2 linked regions of the Alligator mississippiensis genome follow. The protein of the gene in region 2 interacts with the protein of the main gene of each other region in a biochemical or structural test. Links are inferred from orthologs where the notes say so. Each region holds a gene or a part of one and is shown on either strand. Other genes may lie near its edges.

What was found.
Region 1: of the proteins of CUL2 (region 2) and DCUN1D3, one has a biochemical effect on the other in vitro, tested with the Homo sapiens proteins (2 studies listed by BioGRID, with this or other methods). The link is inferred for Alligator mississippiensis from reciprocal best matches to the Homo sapiens genes CUL2 and DCUN1D3.

The regions. Positions count from the first base shown.
Region 1 is NC_081836.1:46,087,958-46,092,288, reverse strand, and holds the start of DCUN1D3 (DCN1-like protein 3), read left to right. Parts: upstream 1-1,772; 5' UTR 1,773-1,862; intron 1,863-1,906; exon of another isoform or gene 1,907-2,004; intron 2,005-2,923; exon of another isoform or gene 2,924-3,380; intron 3,381-4,331. UniProt on the Homo sapiens protein: Contributes to the neddylation of all cullins by transferring NEDD8 from N-terminally acetylated NEDD8-conjugating E2s enzyme to different cullin C-terminal domain-RBX complexes and may play a role in the cell cycle progression by regulating the SCF ubiquitin E3 ligase complex, after UV damage.
Region 2 is NC_081828.1:195,034,604-195,038,934, forward strand, and holds the start of CUL2 (cullin-2), read right to left. Parts: upstream 2,747-4,331; 5' UTR 2,599-2,746; intron 2,319-2,598; exon of another isoform or gene 2,301-2,318; intron 2,223-2,300; exon of another isoform or gene 2,140-2,222; intron 1-2,139.

The sequences.
Region 1 (4,331 bases), on a different chromosome or scaffold from region 2:
GTTGTGGGGGGGACTTTATTTTTTATCACGGATTTTGGGTTTTTAAATCAGAGTATTTGCAATTTTTAATCAGAGAAAATTAGGATCCCTGATCACCACACTTGTGCCACTGTACTTGACACTACCCACTATGATGTTTGAACTCTTTCTATGACTGGTTAAACTGAATGTATTACTATGATTATTCTTTTCTCTTTGTTTTGCAGTTTAGGTCTGTGTATTGTAAATCTTCTACACTTTATTTTGCAACTTACTGTATTGGGTACACGCCTGCAATTTACGAACAAGGCGAGCACAAAACCCCTTTAATTTCCTATTGATTTAAGACTGTATGTAACATTTAAAATAAAGCTCTTAGTATTATCACACATTGAGATTTAGTTATATGGTCGTTATACAGTTACCCACCATAAGTCTCCAGTTAAAGATAAATAGCAAGTATTGCTCATCCTCACTTTAGTCCCTGTCAAATCCCAATTCAAAACCAGTGAGAACTGGGTCATCATCAACCTTGAAGTGTTTCTTTGTTTTGAGGCAAGTGGTTGGAAGAAAGCACGGACAGCGAACCCGAAAGTTCAATAGATTTCATAGATTTGTAGGGTCGGAAGGGAAGATCATCGAGTCCGCCCCCTTGCCCCCGGGTCAGATGACCCCAGCCAGGTACTTGTCCAGTCTCCTCTTAAAGCCCCCCGGGGTAGGGGAGAGCACCGCCTCCCTTGGGAGCACGTTCCACACTCTGGTAACCCAGACTCTTAAGCTGGTTAAGACCCCCTGAGAGTGACCCGGGTTTTGCACATGCTGCCTCAATTAACTGCCTCAATTGTGATAGACTTTTGAACATTTTTAGTATTATCTGTCTTACAAGGGTTGAAAGTATTGTACAAATACGATAATTACGCTACATCTGGCAACACTGACCCCAGCATACCTTGCAAGCCAGTTCCCCGTCTCAGGGTGGGCAGGCTCAGCGCGGTCTGCTCCCGGGCGGTGCGCTGCAGTGCCCCCCCGCCCCCGCCCGGCCACTGCAGGCGTTCCCAGAGTCAACAGTTAACGTCTGTTCAGTTGCTTATCGGTGCCGCGTACACAGTCTAAGTTGTGCAGACTGAATCGATTCCGCCTCGGGCTTGTTACTGCTTGTACTTGGCGGAGGGCCGGGACCCGGTAGCAGAGCACGAACCCACTTACGTGTTGCAGGGCAGGGGCGGTGTTTTGTTTCGGACAGGGTCACAGGAAAAGGCCACGTGGATTTCACTTTGGTTCAGTCTAAACACGGCAAGTCGGTGTCTCCACGGTTGTCTGCCCGCCGCCCCCCATGGCTTTTCGTGCCGTGAGCGGGGAGCTACAAGCAGACCCAACCGAGCCCGACCGTGGGGGCCTGGCGACGTCGAGCGCCCACTCTGCGCATGTCCAGCCCCACGCGCCAGATGCCCGGGCAGCCTAGCGAAAGGCTCTCCCGGGCGGGCCGCTACCAACGTGCGCGGATGGGGAGGGGGAGTGTTCCCGCGCGTCCCCCCCATCTCTCATTTTGCCCTTTCTCACTGCTGCTCAGCACCCACTGGGTGTCTCTCCTTCCCTTCTCCCACTTTACCTCCAGGATCAAGCGCGATGTAACCCTCTTTCACGTTCCCCCCCTTCCTTGAGCAGTGGTTCGGCCCGGCCAAGCCCGGTTCCCCCTACCACAGCCGGCGGTGGTTGTCTGCCCTTTTCCTGCCCTCGCTGTACGTGTGGCGTCAGGGACGTCTGCACGCTCCCCGGCGTCACACCGCCGCGCGCCGCCAGCTGACTCCTCATCCCCGGAAGTGATGCAGAGGCAGGGAGGGAGGGGGGAAGGCAAGCTGGAGTATCGCTGGGAGCCGCGGAGGGTGAGTGAATTGGACCGTGTCTCTTCCCGTCCGCTTCAGGGGGCGCTGCCTGTGGGGGGCCGGGCCGGGAGGCGCCCCGACCCCGGGGGCCTGAGGCACCGGAGTCGTCCTGGAGAGCCCGGCCCGGGCGCTCGAGTAGCTTGTGCGTGTGTGGAGGAGCCGGGGCGGGGGTGGAGGGGAGATCTCCCGTTAGGGCCCGGGGCGCTGTCCCCCCTCGGGGCCGGGGCCGCCCGCCCTGCGACCCCGCACGGCCCCCTTCTCTCTGGCGCCCCCGGCTGCACCCCCTCCTCCCCCACGCTCCCCGACCCCGGAGGGCGCCTACCCCAGAGCTGCTGCCAGGGCCCCGGGGGGTGATGCGGTCCCCGCCGGGGTGCCCCGTGCCGGCCTGGCCTCGTCAGGATCCCTCGGGGGTCCTGGCGCGGGCTCTGCTCTCCTGGCTGCCAGGATCCCCGCGCGTGTCCGTGCCCCTCGTGTCCCTCGCTCGCGCCCGGGGCGTGAAGTTGCTGCTTGTCCTCAAACTTGCTTCTGTGGCCGCCAGCGCTGTGGGCTCCCTTCCCGGCCTGCGAGGGCTTTAATGGGAGCCTCGGGGTGCACCCCCACCCCATCTTGTGGGCTTACGGACCTGGCTGAGAGCGCGGCCGGACTAGGCATTTGTAGTAAGTGCAGCACCGTGCCTAGACTCCTGGCGGCTCTGGGCAAATTTTTAGTATTGGGCTCCCCTTTGCCACAGATAATAATGATGATAATGATTATTTTCACCACTTTCAAGCCTCCCTTCTGTCTGGGCCCTGGGCAGCTGCCCGGTTTGCTGATGCCTGTGTCTGGCCTTGAGTAAATGTTTCTTGGGAAGCACGTTTCTTTCCTGCTGCGGCTGTGAGAGGGCAGGGTAGGGTGGGAGGCTGAGTCTTGTCGTATAGCTGAGCCTCCTGATGCTCTGGACACAATGCTCGTGCCCTGGATTTCCATGGGGAGCCACTTCTTCCCCAATACTTGTTTAAATCATTCCTTCTTTAAGTTGCGGTGGGAGTGCAGGCTTATGTATTTATTTATTTTATAATCTTGATAGTTTGTTTCTGAATATCAAGTTCCGATACTCCACACTTGTCTTGCAGAAGAACTTCACGCTATGCCACTGTTGTGTTTTCTGAGGAGTCCCGAAAGACTTGTGATCGATCTTTCAGTGTCAGTTTCATTCTGTCTTCCTTATTCATTCCCCAAGTTTGGGGAGAAAAAATTGCTAAGCACAAGCTGAAGGTATCTTGTCTAATGCAGGCTTCCCATATTTGACTGAGAACCTTCCCGTATCTAATTAAGTTAATAAGTGACCACTAGGTTTTTGGTATTGGATTTTGGGCTAGCTGTGAAAAGAAACAATCTTTTGTGTGTTTTTGATTCTACATTGTCATAAAGTCTTTGCTGCAGCCTTTCTGCTTGTTTTCCAGGTGCTACTGTGAGGTGCTTATTGGGAGAGGAAGGAAGGTCTTTTGACTAAAATGAAGACTGGGAACCATGAGACAGGTTCTGTTCTTGGCTCTACCTTGCTTTGCCTCATCTTAAATGGACAGTTACTTATTTCACAGGGTGTTTAATTGTCTGTGAAGAGCTTTTACAGCTCCCTAAACAAAAGACAACTTGAGGTTTGAAACAAAGTATTTTCATAGGTGAGAGGAAGGTGTAGAAAAGCAGATTGTTAGATCCTTGTTGACAAAGTACATTTAATTCTGGTTAGAAACTTGTGAAGAAGTTCAGTTGAAGTCTTCTAAATTCTAATAATTTCATGGCAGTTAGTGCTGCTATAGAATTTGCTGTCCATAAATCTATTTAAAGATTACTACATCATTAAGAGTGTACTTACAGCCCTAATATTCTTTGACAGCTCAGCTTGATGTTCTGGTAATCCATTTTATCTTGAGACCTGATAAACCTTCAATATCATCTGTAATTTGCCTGTAGATCTCAGGAACTGCATCTGGTGACTTTCATAGTAGTTACTTAATTTGTCTCCTATTCCATGCTGTCTTGCTTTAAAGAGCTTGGGAGGTGGATGGGTGTGTGTGAGTAACTTTTGGTGTTATCAATTGCATCTTGCCGACTGTGGCACTGAGCATTTAAACGTAAAGGACAGTAACAAGATCAATAGGAGAACTAGAGGGTAGACTTGACCATGTGGTGTAAAGCAGCTACTTCTGTAAACGGAGGGGGAAAATAGCTTCCTTAAAGAGGGAGTGTTCCAGGGAGAGAGGCTGTCAGACTATCTCACTGGCCTGTAATACAAAGGGACACAGAATGACCTCTGGTGTATGCATCAGTGATGATGAAAAAAGGAGATCTCCCTTGTGTGTCCACGGGAAAGATAGACCTCAGTCCTGCACAATGTGTTCTGTGTGTTGGGATGGGAGGGGAATAAGGGAGAGATGGGAATGTTCTTGGCTTTTATTTTGTAGATGAAAATGATTCAGCCCTTCCTGG
Region 2 (4,331 bases):
AGCTCTGATACAAGAGTCTGACGTAGAGTTGAAAAGAAAAAGTTCTAAAAAGGTGAACTAAGTGTAAACCAAAGCAAAAGTTTCTTCCAATGACTAGAAGAAACTGGCTCCAGAGCCAGGAAGACAGGTACCACTGTTCAGAAGGTTACCAAGTATCAAGTATTAGGAATTAGGAGGTCTGTGGGAAATTGCTGCTCCTTCTATGGAGGAGCAAAACAACTCAGCAAAGTAAGCTTTTATCACACCCCAGAGGATTTATCTAGGATTTTCTTGTCTTTGTTTGTTTTGTTTTTGAAGTGACACAAAATAGGAAAGAGGTAACAAGCAATTTAGAGGGACAAGAAGGGACAAAGACTGACAATAAAACCAGAGAAGACTGTATCACCATTATGCCTACATGACACATAAAAATAGCCCTATTATGCTGAACAAACACTGCACACACAAGAATAGTCCTGTCTGGAGACTATGCAAGACAGGGGTGAGCAAAATGCAGCCCGTGGTCCAGATGCATCCCGCCAGGCACTTCTATCCGGCCTGTGGGACCCCTAAAAAATTTAGAAAATTAATATTTATCTGCCCCGGCTGCCTGTCATGCGGCCCTTGATGTCTTGTCAAAACTCAGTAAGCGATCCTCCACCCAGAATAATTGCCTGCCCCTGATGTAAGATGTACTAAACAAAAGGTGGAAATAAGTAGTTAATCTTCTGAAGATAGGAAGCAACTCTGCCTAGAAATGCAAGATCAGAAAGACATACAAAACAGGGAAACACCTAGTAACAGAGAATTTTAAAGAAGTGGATACCTCCTGTACAAGACTGAAGGAACACACAACCAATCTCCTAAGAATTGTGGATTGCTTAACAGTCCAATGGAGAAACATCCAACTACATAATTATAATTTTATAGCTATAATTAAGGTTTTGATCCTAAAACGGATCGTGCAGTCCTGTGCAGAAACTCTCTGGACTCAGTGGGGAATCCGTGCAGGTGGATTTATGCAAATGAAATTGTAAACCTATGTATTTAATTACCTTTTTAAATTGTAAAACTCTCCTACTGTTTGTAAGTAATAATATTATATGTTTGCTTGGTTTTGGTTTTTTTTTAAACAAACTCAGGGTAACTAACTGAATGAAACTAAGTTTCTCCAGTTCAGGAATCAAAAAGTCTTCTTTTTACACAAGCATAAATCCAGATCGAAGAGTAAAATCAATAACATCCATGGCCTCCATATGATCGCAGAAGGCAGAGTAGAGATGCACTCTATTGGCTAACCAAATCAGAGATGCATGAACTTTCTTGAGCATAAACTAACTTTACTACTACCTCTCTACATATTCATATCATGTCACAACTTGGCAGTGACATCAAGGTGCTTTACGAGGTTCTATAAAACAGGAATAAAGCTTGTGTTAGTATTAATTGTTGTTTTTAATCAAGAAATAGAAATGATCCATTAGTACTTAGAAACATTCTAACCATTGCATTTCTACTACAAGCATTAATAGTGTCAAAGAAAAATAGCTTCAGGAATCCAGGAATACTGTATTTTCTACATGACAGTAACACGAGGTGCCAAAAGAGGGACACAAGTTGCAAGTAATTAGAGGAAGAATTTTGTAAGTATACTAGCCAATTGCCCCTCTTAGGTTTTTATAATATTAGAATATTCCAAAAAAGGTTAATTCTAATAAAAATATATACAAACATGTACTTTAGTAAAGCTAGTCTTTTACAACAAATAAAAAGGAGTTAATAAATCATCTCTATGTAACATAGTTACACTAGAAAACTTGGGGATGCTTTCAGATAAGGCTTAAACAGAAATCTTGGCTCTGTCTACAAGCTCACTAAGGATCCCTAACACAGCAGTTCCCAAACTGTGGGTTGCGACTCTAAATTGGGACCCCGGGGGTGGGGGCTGTGGGTTGGGAGCAAGAGGCCATGCATGGGGTCATGCTGAGGAAAAACAAGTTCGGGAAGCCCTGCCTCAGCACTTATTGTACAAGCATGGTCCACTGAAGTGTTCCCGGTCGGCTCTACCCGCTCCCGTGGCCGGGCAGGAGGCGGAGGATTGTGGCTGCCACCCACCCTCTCTGGGTACATCTAAACCAGACGGTGCCACAAGACGCCAACCTGAGACGGCCCCTTTTCTGGTCGTGCCCAAGGTCAGCAAAGCTGCAGGCCTGCGCCTTGGCTCAAGTGCTTCACAGGCTCCGGAGCGGGAAGCAGGAGTCCAAACAAAACTTCCCGACTAGGCCCGAGGCGCGGAGATGCGGCGCAGCGGCCTCCCCTACCGGGAAAGCGGCATCCGGCGTCGCCCGGGCTGCTCCTCCCGTAGGCGGGAGCCCCGCTCCGAGGCACCCGCCACTCCCAGGCGAAAGCGAAAGTGGCCGGGCCTGGCCGGGCGGAGCCGGGGGTCCCCGCGCAGGCCCCTCCGCCGGCAGCAGGGGCGCAAGTGCGAAGGCCGCCGGCCCCGCCGCTGCCGGTCCCTGCCCCGCTCCCTCCTCACCGCGCTGCCATCACCGGCCGCTGCCCCGCGCCCGCCCGGCTCCACGCATTCCCGTCCCCGCGGCTACCGGAGCCGCTACTCACCGCCCGCCGGGCTCCCCCCGACAGCGGCCGGGGCGAGAGGGAACGGGCCGGGCGAGGACTCGCCCCCCCCCGCGCAGAGAGGGGCTTAGTACAGGCCGCACTACGGCGAGCGCGGAGGGCCCAAATTCATCCCGACTTCCGTTGCCGCAAAATAAATAAATAATTCCTCTTCCTGTAGGCCGGCGTCACGGGGCAGAGCCGCGGCCGCCTGCACATGCGCAGCACCGCCACCCCGCGGACGCGTAGGTCATGCAGGCCCTCCACCCTGCGTATGCGCCGCTGGTCTCCGTGTCGTGGTCTGCGCCTGCGCGAGTCCTGCTAGTAGCTGCTGGGTCGGTGTTGTGGGGTGGGCTGTCATTTCAGCCCGTGGCTGGCACGCGATGGGTAGCGGTAGAAGTGTTCAAGACGCATCATAATTTTGTAGGTATCCAGGTTGTAGTCGTATTGATCTACAGGAAAAGGCAATCAGGATTTGTAGTAGAGATGATATCTTTTATTAGACCAACAAGGTGTTTGCAAAAAATTAAAGATTTTTTTTTTTTTGCAAAAATCTCGTTGGTCTAATACAAGATACCATCTCTACTACGAGTCCTGATTGTCATAATTTTTGAGGCAGCTAGCTCACTGATGCAGCATATGCAAAACCCAAATCACTCCTCTCAGGGGGCTTAGCTGACTTTGGGGATTGCTGCTAGCACTTCCTTATGACCGGTTGCCTTGAAATAAAGAAATGCTTCAACTTTGACCCACTTTTCACTCATGCGCTGGGACTTGTAGTGAGCAATATAAAGTAAATAAAAAGGCATATTTGCATATTTTCATAGTTTTTCAGCAAATACAGTCATTTTGAGCTTCCAATACAATTATTAAATATTTAAGACCTGGCAACACTGGGCTTAGTTCATCTGGGATTAGCCGGCCTGGTGCCACAGTGGCCTGGGATACAGTGCTCATGTCACTGCTCCAGCTGGGACATAGGAAGAAACCCCCTCAGCAGGTAAATGCGGGCTAGGAGTTGCCCAGCTAGGGCTGATCCCCACTAGAAGCAACTGGCAGGCACCTGCCATCCACCCCATGGGCATTTGCCATACACGCACCAGCATGGTCAGCCCAACACCCAACCTGCCACAGCCATATGCCAAGGGCACTTGAAGGCAGGATGGTGTCTCTTACCAGCATCTGCATCCACCTCTGCTGCCCATCCCCTCGGTTCACACTGCAAGCAACTCCCCCAATGCCTTGCCTTTCTAGACCAGGCATGTTTCCAGCTCCTGTGAGCTAAGGACTGAGACAGAAAATAAAACAAGCTTGCAGTTTGCACATAGGTGAAGAATCTAGGTTCATGCCCCCTGCACCCTTATGAAAGAAAAAAACCCATGTGCAATTAAACTAGACCCTTAGCTTCACATTTCCACAGGATTCGGAATATTTTGTTGTCCAGGGAATTCTCACAGCTTCATACCACCCACCACCCCCACCAGGGACTCCTCTCTCTCCCTACTCTTCATATGTTGCAAACTCTTCCCAGAATCAGAGTAAGTGGGGCTGGAAGGGACCTCCAGAGGTTACCTAGTCCAGCCCCCAGCCTAAGGCAGGATCATCCCTATCCAAACCATGCCATACAACCCATCATCTAAACTTTCCATCAGTCTACCATCAACCCTGAAACAACACACTCCTAACACCCTAGCTTGCAACAGGTAAAGCAGGGGAACCACAGTAACCACTGTGCT